3 linked regions of the Cricetulus griseus genome follow. The protein of the gene in region 3 interacts with the protein of the main gene of each other region in a pairwise test. Links are inferred from orthologs where the notes say so. Each region holds a gene or a part of one and is shown on either strand. Other genes may lie near its edges.

Region 1 (3,745 bases), on a different chromosome or scaffold from region 3:
AAGTCCCCCTGGAAGACCAAACATGGAGGCTCACATCTGTAATCTCAGTACTGGGGAGACTGAGGCTGAAGGGCCACCAAACCACATTCAAGGCCAGCCTGGGCTATGCTGTGAGACCCTAGGTACACATCTGTGACCCCAGAATTCAGAATGTAGAGGCAGGGGGAGACAGTGACATACAAAGTCCAGGGGAGCCTGGATTAAGGGAGCCGCCTTGAAACTACAGGGCCCTGGAAAGAGGAGGGGGGGTGGGAAGATAGTTTCCACTTCCCTCTGGTGTTGGTTTCCGGTTCACCATTATACCACCATTATCTGCACTTGTGCTATCCACCCTGATTAGTGAAGGAAACCAAGCTTTGAGTGCTCCTGGGTCAAAGTGAGAAACCCAACCCCTGTACCAAAAAGGGCAAGAAAGAGGGTCGCAGCAAGGAAAACCCAGGCAGGCAGGCCTCTTAAATCTAGGGCCCATTCACCGCTCAAGAAGTTCATGAAAGTTGCCCCAAAAAAAGTTCTCTCATTTTGTCCTGGGATATTTTCCTCTTTTCTTTTTTTTTTTTTTCCTTTCTTTTTGAAACAGGGTCCATGTAGCCCAGGACAGCCTTGAACTCTTGCTTCTCCTGCCCCCACTTTCCAAATGCTGAGGTGACCAGTGTGTGTCGCCAAGCCTGGCTTGCGTGCCCATTTTACAGAGGAGGAAACTGAGACTGGCTGGAGGGAGCTAGGGGGAAAAGATGCTGCGGGTAGGAGCCTCTGAGTAGAGCAAAGCTCGCCCGCGGTCTAGGAGGAGCAGCGTGGGAGCACCGAGACCCGCGTCCGCGCGCGGTGCGGCCCCGCCCCCACGGGGGACGTGAAGACGCGGACCCCGCGCAGCGTGGGGACATGTGACCGACTGCAGAGGCCGCGCGCTGCATCCCCGGCCCGGCCGCGCTGCTGCGCAGGACGCGGGGAGGCGCGCGCTGAGGCCGGGAGCACCGCCCCGGGAGCACCGCGGGGCGCGCGAGCAGACACGCAGCCGCACGGCCGGGGCGGGGTCCCCGCGGGGTCCCCAGCTTCGCGCAGAAACGAAACCGAAAGAGGGGACCGAGGGAGGCGGAGCCGCGCCGACGCCACCCAGCCCTGCGGGGCCCGGACCCGGGCGCGGCCAGGTGCGCACCGGCCACCATGGCTCAGGACGGCGTGGAGGTAGGACAGTCGCGCCACCCGAGACAGGCCGCGCGGGGAGGGCTCCGGGGACACCCCGACCCCCTGGGCCGCCTCCCCCTCCGTCCCGGCCGTAGCGGGGCTGCAGGGTCAGAGGTTAGAAGGAAAGGGGGTGACCTGGCCTGCATCCCGGCTCACACGCACGCACGCCAGACCGCAAATTCGCACCCGGCAGGCTGGCACCCGCCGCAGTCTGCACCATCCCCCAATGCCTGGAGAACTTTGGATTTTTCCAGGAAATGGCTTAAAGGGAGGGGGAGGGGAGAGGGTGCGGAGGCCAGAAGCCGGGGTCAAGTTCAGGAGAATGAGGGGCGGGCGCCGCTCCCCAGTCGTCCCCCACACCAGCGCTCACCTCCCCTCCATCCCAGTTGGAGAAGAGCGTCAGGCGCCTCCGGGAGAAGTTTCATGGAAAAGTGTCCCCCAAGAAGGCAGGGGCTCTTATGAGGAAGTTTGGCAGCGACCACACCGGAGTAGGGCGCTCTATCGTGTATGGTGAGTCCGCCCAGGGGGTACTGCGTGGGTGTGGTTGTCGCTCGCTGTAGCGACCCTGGCTCCCCTTGACAGGAGGCTCTCCACCACCTGGAACTCCTACTCACCCTTCAAGAGCCCTTCCCATATTTCCCCACTAGGTGTCAAGCAGAAAGATGGACAGGAGCTGAGCAACGATTTGGACGCTCAGGTAACCTGAACTCCCTCTCTCCTCAAAGAGAGATACTGTGAGAGCCCATCTTGCTATCTAAGTTCCTTCCTTGTCCGAAGCAGCCTGCAAACAGTAGGCGCTCATTATGTGCTGATTGCCTCAGATGGAGGAGGAGACAGGACAGTCGGATAAGGAGGTCCTGGCTGTTGAGGAAGGCTCAAGGAAACTAATTCTACCTTTCACTAGAAGAAAGGCTGGGCTGGCCTGGGGGGGAAAGAGGTCCCAATGGAGGAGAAGGGATAAATTCATAGAATCACTTCTGTGGCTGTACCCTGTGTGCTGAACTTGCTTGAAAGGCTTGCCAAAGTTTTGTTTTGTTTTGTTTTTTTGAGACAGGGTCTCACTATGTAGCCCTGGACTGTCCTGAAACTCACTTTACAGGCCAAGCTGGCTTTGAACTCACAGAGATCCACCTGCCTCTGCCTCCCAAGCACTGGGAATCAAAGGCGTGCACCACCATGCTGGGCACCTAAAAGAATCTGACAAATCATATTCCTTTGGTTTAGGTCTATAAGGAATATGACAAATTAATAATAGAAGGAAGTTGCCTTCATGGAGAGAGCCTGAGGGGCAAACCTCCAGGCCTTGGTTCATTTCATATCCCTTTCTTCTGCTTCCGGGAGGCAATCCTATTACACAAGAAAGCTCAGGCTCATGACATTTCACCAAGTTCTGGGGACCAGCATTTGACTTCAGGGATTCAAATTCTAGCCATTTGCAATGAAGCTCGGGCTCTGAGAGGCCCTTCTGTGAGAACCCTCAAAGAGAGGGACTTGCCCACCATCCCCATCTGGGAGCAATAGAGCAGCCAACCGGTTGCAAGCCCCCAAACTGGAGCCTTTTAAAGCCATGTGGCCAAGGAGCTGAGAGATACCTCAGCTGTTGAGAGCACTTGCTGCTCTCACAGGGGACCCTAATTCCATTCTCAGCACCTACATGGGACAGTTCACAACCACTCCAGTTCCAGGGGTATCTGACACCCTCTTCTGGCCTCTATGGGCACTACACATATGTACATGTACACAGACATACACATTTTTAAACTTTTTAATCTTTAAAAGCTATGTGGCTTCAGTGGCCAGGTGTCACATGTGTGGCCTCTGCAGATTGAAAGGTCATCCAGGGCTCTGGGTTCCATGGGCCACGATCACTGAGTGGGTTCAGATTCTGGGAAATGAGACTAGCCAAGTATTTGCTTCTTAAGGATCTTTGGGACTTCATTCATTGTAGGCACTGGCTCTATCTGTCAACACAGGCAATAATGTTTCATCTCTGTCTGAAGTCCAGGAGCCCCATGCAGGGGCTTCTCCCCCATTCAACATGGGTATAGGACTCCTAGATAGAGCCTTTCCAGTCTCTGTACTCCTTTTCCGTGTCTCCCCTCAGGACCCACCCGAGGACATGAAGCAAGACCGAGATATCCAGGTGTGTTTTTTGGCTGGGATGAGGCAGGATGGATAACTGTCCAAGGTATATAGCAGTAAGGATGGTCGCTGTGGGCTCCACAGGCAGAGGTGACCCTGTTTTGTCCCCATTCATCCATGTTTCAGGCAGTGGCCACCTCTCTGTTGCCCCTGACAAAAGCCAATCTTCGAATGTTCCAAAGAGCCCAAGACGACCTCATCCCTGCCGTGGACCGACAGTTTGCCTGCTCCTCCTGTGACCACGTGTGGTGGCGCCGTGTGCCCCAGAGGAAGGAGGTGGTACCCCAGACTTACTGGATTCCCTCCTGTACTCCACTCCTGTTGTCTGTGTCCAGAAATTATTTTTATGACTGAAGGTCATCAGCTGCATGTGTGTGTTCATTCATGCATTCATTTGTGTGTGTGTGTGTGTGTGTGTGTG
Region 2 (3,745 bases), on a different chromosome or scaffold from region 3:
TTAATAGAATTAGATTTTGTAGGTAACAGGAAGCCACTCCAGCACACTTTTCCTCCTTGAGGGGAATCTAATAATTAACTTAGACTTTCTCCAACACCTGTTACATTGTTGCAAGCATGTTCTAATAAAGGCCTGAGGTCAATAATATAATCCACTTTCACAAAGGAGAGAAGAAATTTACTCAAATATATTACCAAACATTATTATTATTTTTTGTTTGTTTTGTTTTTTATTTTTCGAGACAGGGTTTCTCTGTTGCTTTGGAGGATGTCCTGGAACTAGCTCTTGTAGACCAGGAGTGCTAGGATTAAAGGCATGCGCCACCACCGCCTGGCTTTACCAAACATTATACTTCCTAAGTTTGTCCAAGCTATCCAAAATTATTAAAGTTGACAGCACCTGCCACCAGCTACTAGGACCCTCATGTTTCAGAATTCTCAGTGTCCTCATCTCCATAACATAGATTACTATTTACAGTCACTTTCTCTGTGTTTTACTTTTTTTTTTTTTAAATTATTGATGTGTGTGTGGATACTCACTTGCCATGGGACACACACTGAGGCTAAAGAAAGGACTCTCCTTCCACATTTATGTGGGTTTGGGGGAATCAAACTGAGGTCATCAAGCTTTTGTTGCAAACAACTTTCATTCACTAAGTCATCAAGCCTAGCCCCTTCACTACAGTTTTTTAAACTCCATTGATTTTGCCAGTTAACTTTACACTCCTTGTACCATCACAGCTTTACTTCTTCTATCCTAAAAAAGAAACCCTTTTACTTTTAGTAGGTATCCTTAATTAAGTATAGTACCTTTTCATCTTCAAAGTTCAGAGCAAATTACCTCATTAGCAATTCTATGAAGTCAGCTCACCCTGAGAAGTCTAACTCAATCCCCAGACCTTTTTAGAAAATGGCTTAGAAATATACCAGGCAGTGAAATACTTTTTGAAGTCTACTTTCTTGTTGTTGCTATAGCGCAATTAAGCTTGGAACTCAAGGTCCTCTTTTCCTTAGGCGGTTAGGGGTGTGCATCTCTCTCACGCAGCTCTACTTCAGTTTCTTTAAAGTATATGTTAAACCACTAAATTTAATTCCCACCCCCCAAAAATCTAAAACTGAATTAATGTAGAATTAAGATAAATATACTTCCCACCAGGGAGAGATGGTACAAATTTCCTCAAATATAATCTCAGTCTTTTTCCTTTGAAATTCTAGTTTTTTTTTTTTTAAAGGGGGGGGCTACTTCAAATTGCGCATCAGATTCTGAAATTCCTACGATTTCGGTTCATTTTAACGATTTTCCAAAGGCTGCAAGCCAGTTCTTAACCTGCAGTTAGCTGTTGAGATGCAGGGGGTTCTAAAACCTTAAATGGTGTGTAAACTACAAGAATTTTCGAGGAGAGAGCCATGGCTAGCTTCAGAATCTCAAGGACGTCTATATACTTTTTAATGTTAAAAGAATTCTGCAGCCAGACGGTGGTGGCGCACACATTTAGACTCAGCATTCGGGAGGCAGTTCGAGGCCAGCCTGGTCTACAGAATGAGTTCCAAGGCAGCCAAGATTATTTCACAGTGAAACCATGTCTCGAAAAACCAAACAAGTAAAATAAATAATAATAACAATAATAATTATGCATTAGTATTAGTCAGCTAAAGTGACAAAACTGTGTATGTGTGTCGGTGGGTGCATTTGAACAATACAATCACCACTAAATGTCTAAATAAAAATGCATCCTTTCATCCAGTGACCCAGATCCTGACACTGGCCTTCCAATCCGATGTCTTCCTTCTGGTTTAGAATGAGGGAAAGCAATTCAACTCCTCCCTCCACCCCCAAAATTAAATCTCTGACCGACCCTCCGCATCGGGTCTGGTTCCCAGCCCGAGCAGGGCAGCAGGAGCTCGCGTACCTGGGCGCTGGTTCGATTAAGGTGGTCGTATCCAGGTAGTGGATCTTGTAGAACTCCAGCAAGGCCGGCAAATGATCAAACTCCTGGTCCCCGATCTTAAAGCGGCGGTTGGGCAGGGAGTTGATGATGTAGTGCGAGACACGCGAGTTCTCGGACACGGACAGTACATAGTCCCCGGGGCAGGTAGAGGAGTCCCGGACTAGGAACATGCCATGGCGCTGGCCCTGGAGACGGGTCTGAGCCTCCTGGCGAGACACTGGCCCCATGTACCAGGCAGAGCGGTCTGCAGAATCAAACCTGGCGGACGACATGGTGTTGGGTCCGGGGATGGGCGGCGTCTGCTGCTCTCGCCTGCTCGTGAAGCCTTTACCCGCTGTCGGCTTTGGGGCCGAGGAAGGGCCTCTCGGAAGACCTCGAGGAGCAATCAGAGGGCTGGGTCAGGACCTTCCTCTCGGCTCCGGGCCCCGCAGCATCCTCCGCCACCGCCCGCCTGCACCGGGCCGCCTCACGGGAAGAGCAAGCCCGGGAACACTGGGCAAAGCCCTGGGGTCGAGGTGGGCGAAGCCGAGCGGTAGCAGAGGCCGCCTCGGGCTTCTCAGCTGCCCGGCGCCCAGGAATGGCTCCAGCGACTTCTGTCCTGGAACCCGCCGGCTCCGCAGCGTCAAGAGCCCGCACCGACCCTCGCCGTCACACGAAGCAGCCTTCTCCAGCAAGAGTCGCGCCTCCCAGGCCGTTTCACCCAGCCCGTTCCCAATAGCCACAGCAACAAAATGGCGGACGCGGGAGAAGCGGCCGGGCACCTCCCCCTTGGTCCAGCTCACTCTCTCTGCGCACGCGCGGAGCCGGGCGCTACCCCCGCCACGGGGCCCGCCCTTTGACGTCTCTCGGCGCAGCCAATCAGGAGTGCGTTCGCGAGGGTCCCCTCCGTGAGCCACTCGTGCTGGCTCCCGCGTTCCGGGAGGAGGCTGAGGAGGCCGTGGGTCAGGCCCTTCCTGGGCCACAGAGCCGCAGTCAGGCAACTGCTGCTGCTGCTGCCGCCGCCGCCGCCCCCGGGAGTTCCGCACTTGGCGAGAAAACAGCCGGAGCCGAGAGGGAACAGCGTTATGAAAACCTGTTTCTGGGAACAAAGCGTAACGTGCTGGCTTGTCTGGCCAGGGAGGCGTGGCCCTCAGGTGACTGCGAGCCACAGGGCCCTGATAAATCAGGTGGCTTAGGAAAGGCATGACCCAGGGTGAGGTGACCATCAAATGGGTTACTGAATAACTCCTGCCCTAGGTGATCCGACTTGGCACACGTGGAACTAATGCTTTAGGAGGGCCACAGTCTGGTGACAACCAGGCCACTACAGGCTCTGAAATGCAACACCTCTGTGTCTGACTTGAATGTCTTGCCTGCTGTAGGTCGTTGTTCTACAACAGTTCCAGTTTGCTTCCTGCCATTCCACGTTGCTCAACTCCAGCCGTGCCCTCCCAACATATTTCTTCCACCCCCACTAGGATCAATCTTTTTTATTTTAGGGTGAGATACTCAAGACAGAGTTTCTCTGTGTAGCCCTGGCTGTCCTGGAACTCACTCCCAAGACCAGGCTGACCGGGAACTCTTCCTGCCTCTGCCTCTTGAGTGCTGGGATTACAGGTACACACCTGCCCACCACTGCCTGGCTATGATCAAATTTTAATAAAACACCTTTGTTTTGCCTACCTTAATACCATGTCTGGTCTTGAATGAATGATCAGACACTTGTTAAATGAATGACTATTGTGAAAAATCACCAAGACACTGATGGCAGGTTATTGATCATAGCATTTCCAAATTGGATGAACAGAAAGGTATAAT
Region 3 (3,694 bases):
CCTCCACCCTGCCCCACCTTTGCCCAGCTGGTGGGCACTCCTACCCTGCTGGTGGCCCGGCTGCTGTCCCTCCCCAGGGCTCTGAGCAACCTTTCCATAGGGCCGCTGGACTTCATGGTGTCTGGCTGGCTGGGTCTTGGCTGCAGGGCCTGAACAATGCTGGGGCCTGGCCTGGGGCTTCCTGGAAGCAGCCTGGCCGAGGCAGCCGCTTCCCTTGGGTGGAGGGGAGGCTGTCTGGCTGGTGTGTGGAGAAGCCTGGCCCTGGAAGTGAAGGGAAGTGCAGGCGGGAAGGGGGCAGGTCGCTGCTCCAGGAAGTGGGGTGGGGGAGGATGTGGGGGAGGCCAGGAGATCAGATTCCCAGGATCTACCCCTGCTGGGAGTGTCAGCCCAAGATCTTTGGCTCTCCCCTTCTCCTCTGGAGCTGCCTCTCACCCGGTGGGCCACCCTGTGTAGGGGTCTGTGGTCTTGAGATCCAGCCCTGGAATCAGTCAGTGGGGCAGGGTGGGAATTCAGGTCTCAGGGCTGGGCTTGAGGGCCAGAGAAGAACACTGTGTCCCCAGCCAGTCTCTAGCCTGGACTCTTAAGTTCCCTTGGGACTTCCTGTGGGAAGGGAGTGGAGCTGGGAACCAGTACCCCTGGCAGGCTAGGACTCAGACTACTTAGGGTGAAAGAAGTAGGAATGAGGGCCAGCTTCCTTGTCAGATGGGGAAGATCATGCAGTACCCTCCTCAAGGCCAAGCACCAGCCAGAAGCCCAGCTGCCCACAGTAGTGAGTGGTCCAGAGCAACCCAGGGCCCTGGAAAGGTTCCACCTGAAGACCCCAGCTACTGTGCTCCAGATAAAACCCACAGTTCCTGGCTTAGTCCCCCTGTATCTGGGACCCCACCCACCCACCCATTCAAACCTGAGCACTACCTTCATGGCTCTTCTGGGCCTGGCTCTTCTTCATCTGTGGCTGTCACTGGACCTGAGGACTGGACAGGAGGCCCCCTCCCAACACATTCTCCACCCCCTCTAGGGCCTCCTGCTTCCCTCCTGGGAATAGGGCCAACTTCCTGTCCCAGGAGTCAAGGAAGGAGGTGGATAGGGCCTTGGAAACGATAGAACAATCTTCCTAAAACAAGGGTCAATGGCCTGGGGGTTCTCGGCTCAAGCCCTGGACAGCAGCCTTTGGAATGCTGTAGCTGTCACTTGAAAGAATGTACAATCTTGTCGTCCTCATTTGCATGGTATTTACTGAATGTCCCAGTGCAACTCCTCCGGTTCTGGCTACATTCACAGGGTTCCACAGGAGTTCCCTCCTCTGCCTCCTGTTCATCCAGGTGAAGGGCTGCTCTACTCCTCCCTGGTTCACCTTAGAAAGACCATCAGACTGGGAAGCCTGAGCCTTCTTCCTGCATGCTCCAATTCTCTAGGAAGCCTGTCACCTGTGTACCCTGGCTAGAGGGTGGCACCTGAGTGGCAAGGTGTGGCCCCCCATACTGTAACTGGAGAGGGCCACTGGCTCTGTAATCCCTACCCAAGTCCTGGCTGTGTCCCAGGACATTCCAGGCCAATGGCCAGGTGGGCAACTGGGCCTGGCCTGATTCAGCACCCAGCCCTGCTGGGGGAGATGGGTCACTGTAGGGCCTGTGTGAGTGTGGCTCCCCCCATCCAGTGTTTTCCCTCTGCATCTATGGCACATAGCCTTACTTCTGCTGTCTCCTTGTGGGACTGAAAGTCCCCTCCTCTGTGAAAAGTCCCCAGACATCCTCTGGCCACATTGAACTTTCACTGCCTGCCCGCACAGACCTAGAAAAGTGTCCATTCAAATGACTGCAATTGGCTGGTCAAGAGCTATGAGTGTCCCCACCACGGGGAGTGAAGTACTTCTGGAAGGATCCTGAAGGCTGGCTGAGGTGGCGTTACCAGATCCCGTAGATCTTCGCTTCCCACCTCCTGCCTGGAATATTCCAGAGCTTTTTTTTTTCTTCCCCCCAGCAGGGCCCCCTCTTACTCTGAAGCCTTGGGTTTGTTTGGAGAAACCCCTCCACCCACCCACACACCCCTCCTTCCTGGAAATAGCTGTGGTTGGATGAGAAGCTGGGAGCCGGGCCACAGAGGAGTGAGGCCCAGGAAAGAAGGGAGGGGAAGAGAGGTAGGATTCTGGGATGTATCCAGAGAGACCTAGGGGGTGTCTAGGCAGGGCAGAAGTAGACTAGGGCTGTTAGGAGGGATCAGCTTCATCTGTGCCTGCATTGTGCCTCAGTGTCCCAGATAGGGAACATGAGAAGAAAACGCTTGCATACTCTCTGCCAGGCCAGGGCCGAAACACTGCGGCCAGCTACCGCGGGCATCTTGTGCTCAAAAAGTGTGTTTGTCGTTTGAGCTGGGGATGCACGCAGGGAGCAGCCGACCCTCCAGTAGTGCGCAGTAGGACGCGGAAGGCGGGGCGGCCTGAGCTAGGACCACAGCCGTGCCCCGCCCCCTGGTCACCTCTAGGATCTCAAACTGCCCCCTAGCTCACCGCGACCGACCGGGAGGGCGCTGGCGGCAGGCAGTCCCAGCCTCCGGGATCCCGCCGCGCTCGGTGTTCCGGGACCCCGGTGGCTCCGCGCCCCCTGGCGCCCGCCCCTGGCTCGCACCTCGCGCTGTGACGCAGAGGGCCGCCGCCCGCGCTCCCGCTCGCTTGGCGTGGCGGGGCCACTCACCTGTGGGGGGCGCCCGGAGGGCTGGGGGCGCGGCGGACCGGGGCAGCAGCAGGGGGCGCCCCCGGGCCAGCCCATCCCGGCCAGGCCAGCCGCACCGCGACACGCGGAGACAGCGGCAGCTGCGGGACGGGCATTCAGCTGGCTCCCTCCCTCTGCGCCCCGCCACCTCCTCCCGCCCTCCGGCTCCCTCCTTCTTCCCCGGGCTCCAATCGCCACCTTCCACCCGCTCCCCGCCCGCGCCGCCTCCTTTTTCCCTCCTCTCCTCCCACTGTCCTTCCCGCGAACGGCTCGGCGCGCAGAGGCAGGCTCGAAGGCCGAGCTGGCAGCCTGAGCCGGGGAGGGACCGCACGTGGGAAGGCAGCCCCAGGGAGCCTCAGACCGAGAGGCTGCGGAGGGACACGGGCGGAGAGAAACGCGTGAGCCGCACAGACTCCTCAAAAGAAGGTGGACACAGATCCAGAAGGGTACACAGAACAGCTGCGAGGCCTTGGCATCTCGGCGGCCACTTTAGTGCGGGATCTATTCTGAACCATGCCTGACCTGGTGGGGGCGCCAGATGTACTGGTGTCCCGGGTCTTAGGACACCACTTCCTGGTGTTCTCCCCCACTGGAACTTTTCTGTGTCTCTTCTCCCAGAAGACTCACAGCTGAGGACCCACACAAGGTTCAAAGCTCCCACCCCTCAACGGCTTTAGTAATCGCCCCTGTGTTCCTGGGGCTTACCAATGCAAGTTCTTTTGGTGGTGTCATCGCATTCCTTTTTTTTTTTTACTTTTTGTTTTATTTATTATGTATTTTATTTATTATTTTTTGTCTGCATATATCCCTGCACACCAGAAGAGGGCACCAAGTCTCATAACGGATGGTTGTGAGCCACCATGTGGATGCTGGGAATTGGACTCAGGACCTCCGGAACAGCAGCCAGCGCTCTTAACCTCTGAGCCATCTCTCCAGCCCCTCATTCCTTTTTAAAAGTCTGATATTGGAAAAGAACGCCTGAAATT

What was found.
Region 1: the proteins of Tns2 (region 3) and Shfl interact in binary tests that used the Homo sapiens proteins (3 or more experiments, as listed by UniProt). The link is inferred for Cricetulus griseus from reciprocal best matches to the Homo sapiens genes TNS2 and SHFL.
Region 2: the proteins of Tns2 (region 3) and Crkl interact in a two-hybrid assay, tested with the Homo sapiens proteins (2 studies listed by BioGRID and IntAct). The link is inferred for Cricetulus griseus from reciprocal best matches to the Homo sapiens genes TNS2 and CRKL.

Annotation. Positions count from the first base shown.
Region 1 is NC_048597.1:133,744,344-133,748,088, forward strand, and holds the start of Shfl (shiftless antiviral inhibitor of ribosomal frameshifting protein), read left to right. Parts: upstream 1-1,161; coding exon 1,162-1,182; intron 1,183-1,568; coding exon 1,569-1,692; intron 1,693-1,829; coding exon 1,830-1,879; intron 1,880-3,286; coding exon 3,287-3,325; intron 3,326-3,450; coding exon 3,451-3,600; intron 3,601-3,745.
Region 2 is NC_048597.1:71,868,040-71,871,784, forward strand, and holds the start of Crkl (crk-like protein), read right to left. Parts: upstream 2,657-3,745; 5' UTR 2,221-2,656; coding exon 1,910-2,220; intron 1-1,909. UniProt on the Homo sapiens protein: May mediate the transduction of intracellular signals.
Region 3 is NC_048595.1:398,500,690-398,504,383, reverse strand, and holds the start of Tns2 (tensin-2), read right to left. Parts: upstream 2,851-3,694; 5' UTR 2,766-2,850; coding exon 2,691-2,765; intron 2,602-2,690; exon of another isoform or gene 2,507-2,601; intron 2,001-2,506; exon of another isoform or gene 922-2,000; coding exon of another isoform or gene 916-921; intron 832-915; exon of another isoform or gene 117-831; coding exon of another isoform or gene 45-116; intron 1-44. UniProt on the Homo sapiens protein: Tyrosine-protein phosphatase which regulates cell motility, proliferation and muscle-response to insulin. Phosphatase activity is mediated by binding to phosphatidylinositol-3,4,5-triphosphate (PtdIns(3,4,5)P3) via the SH2 domain.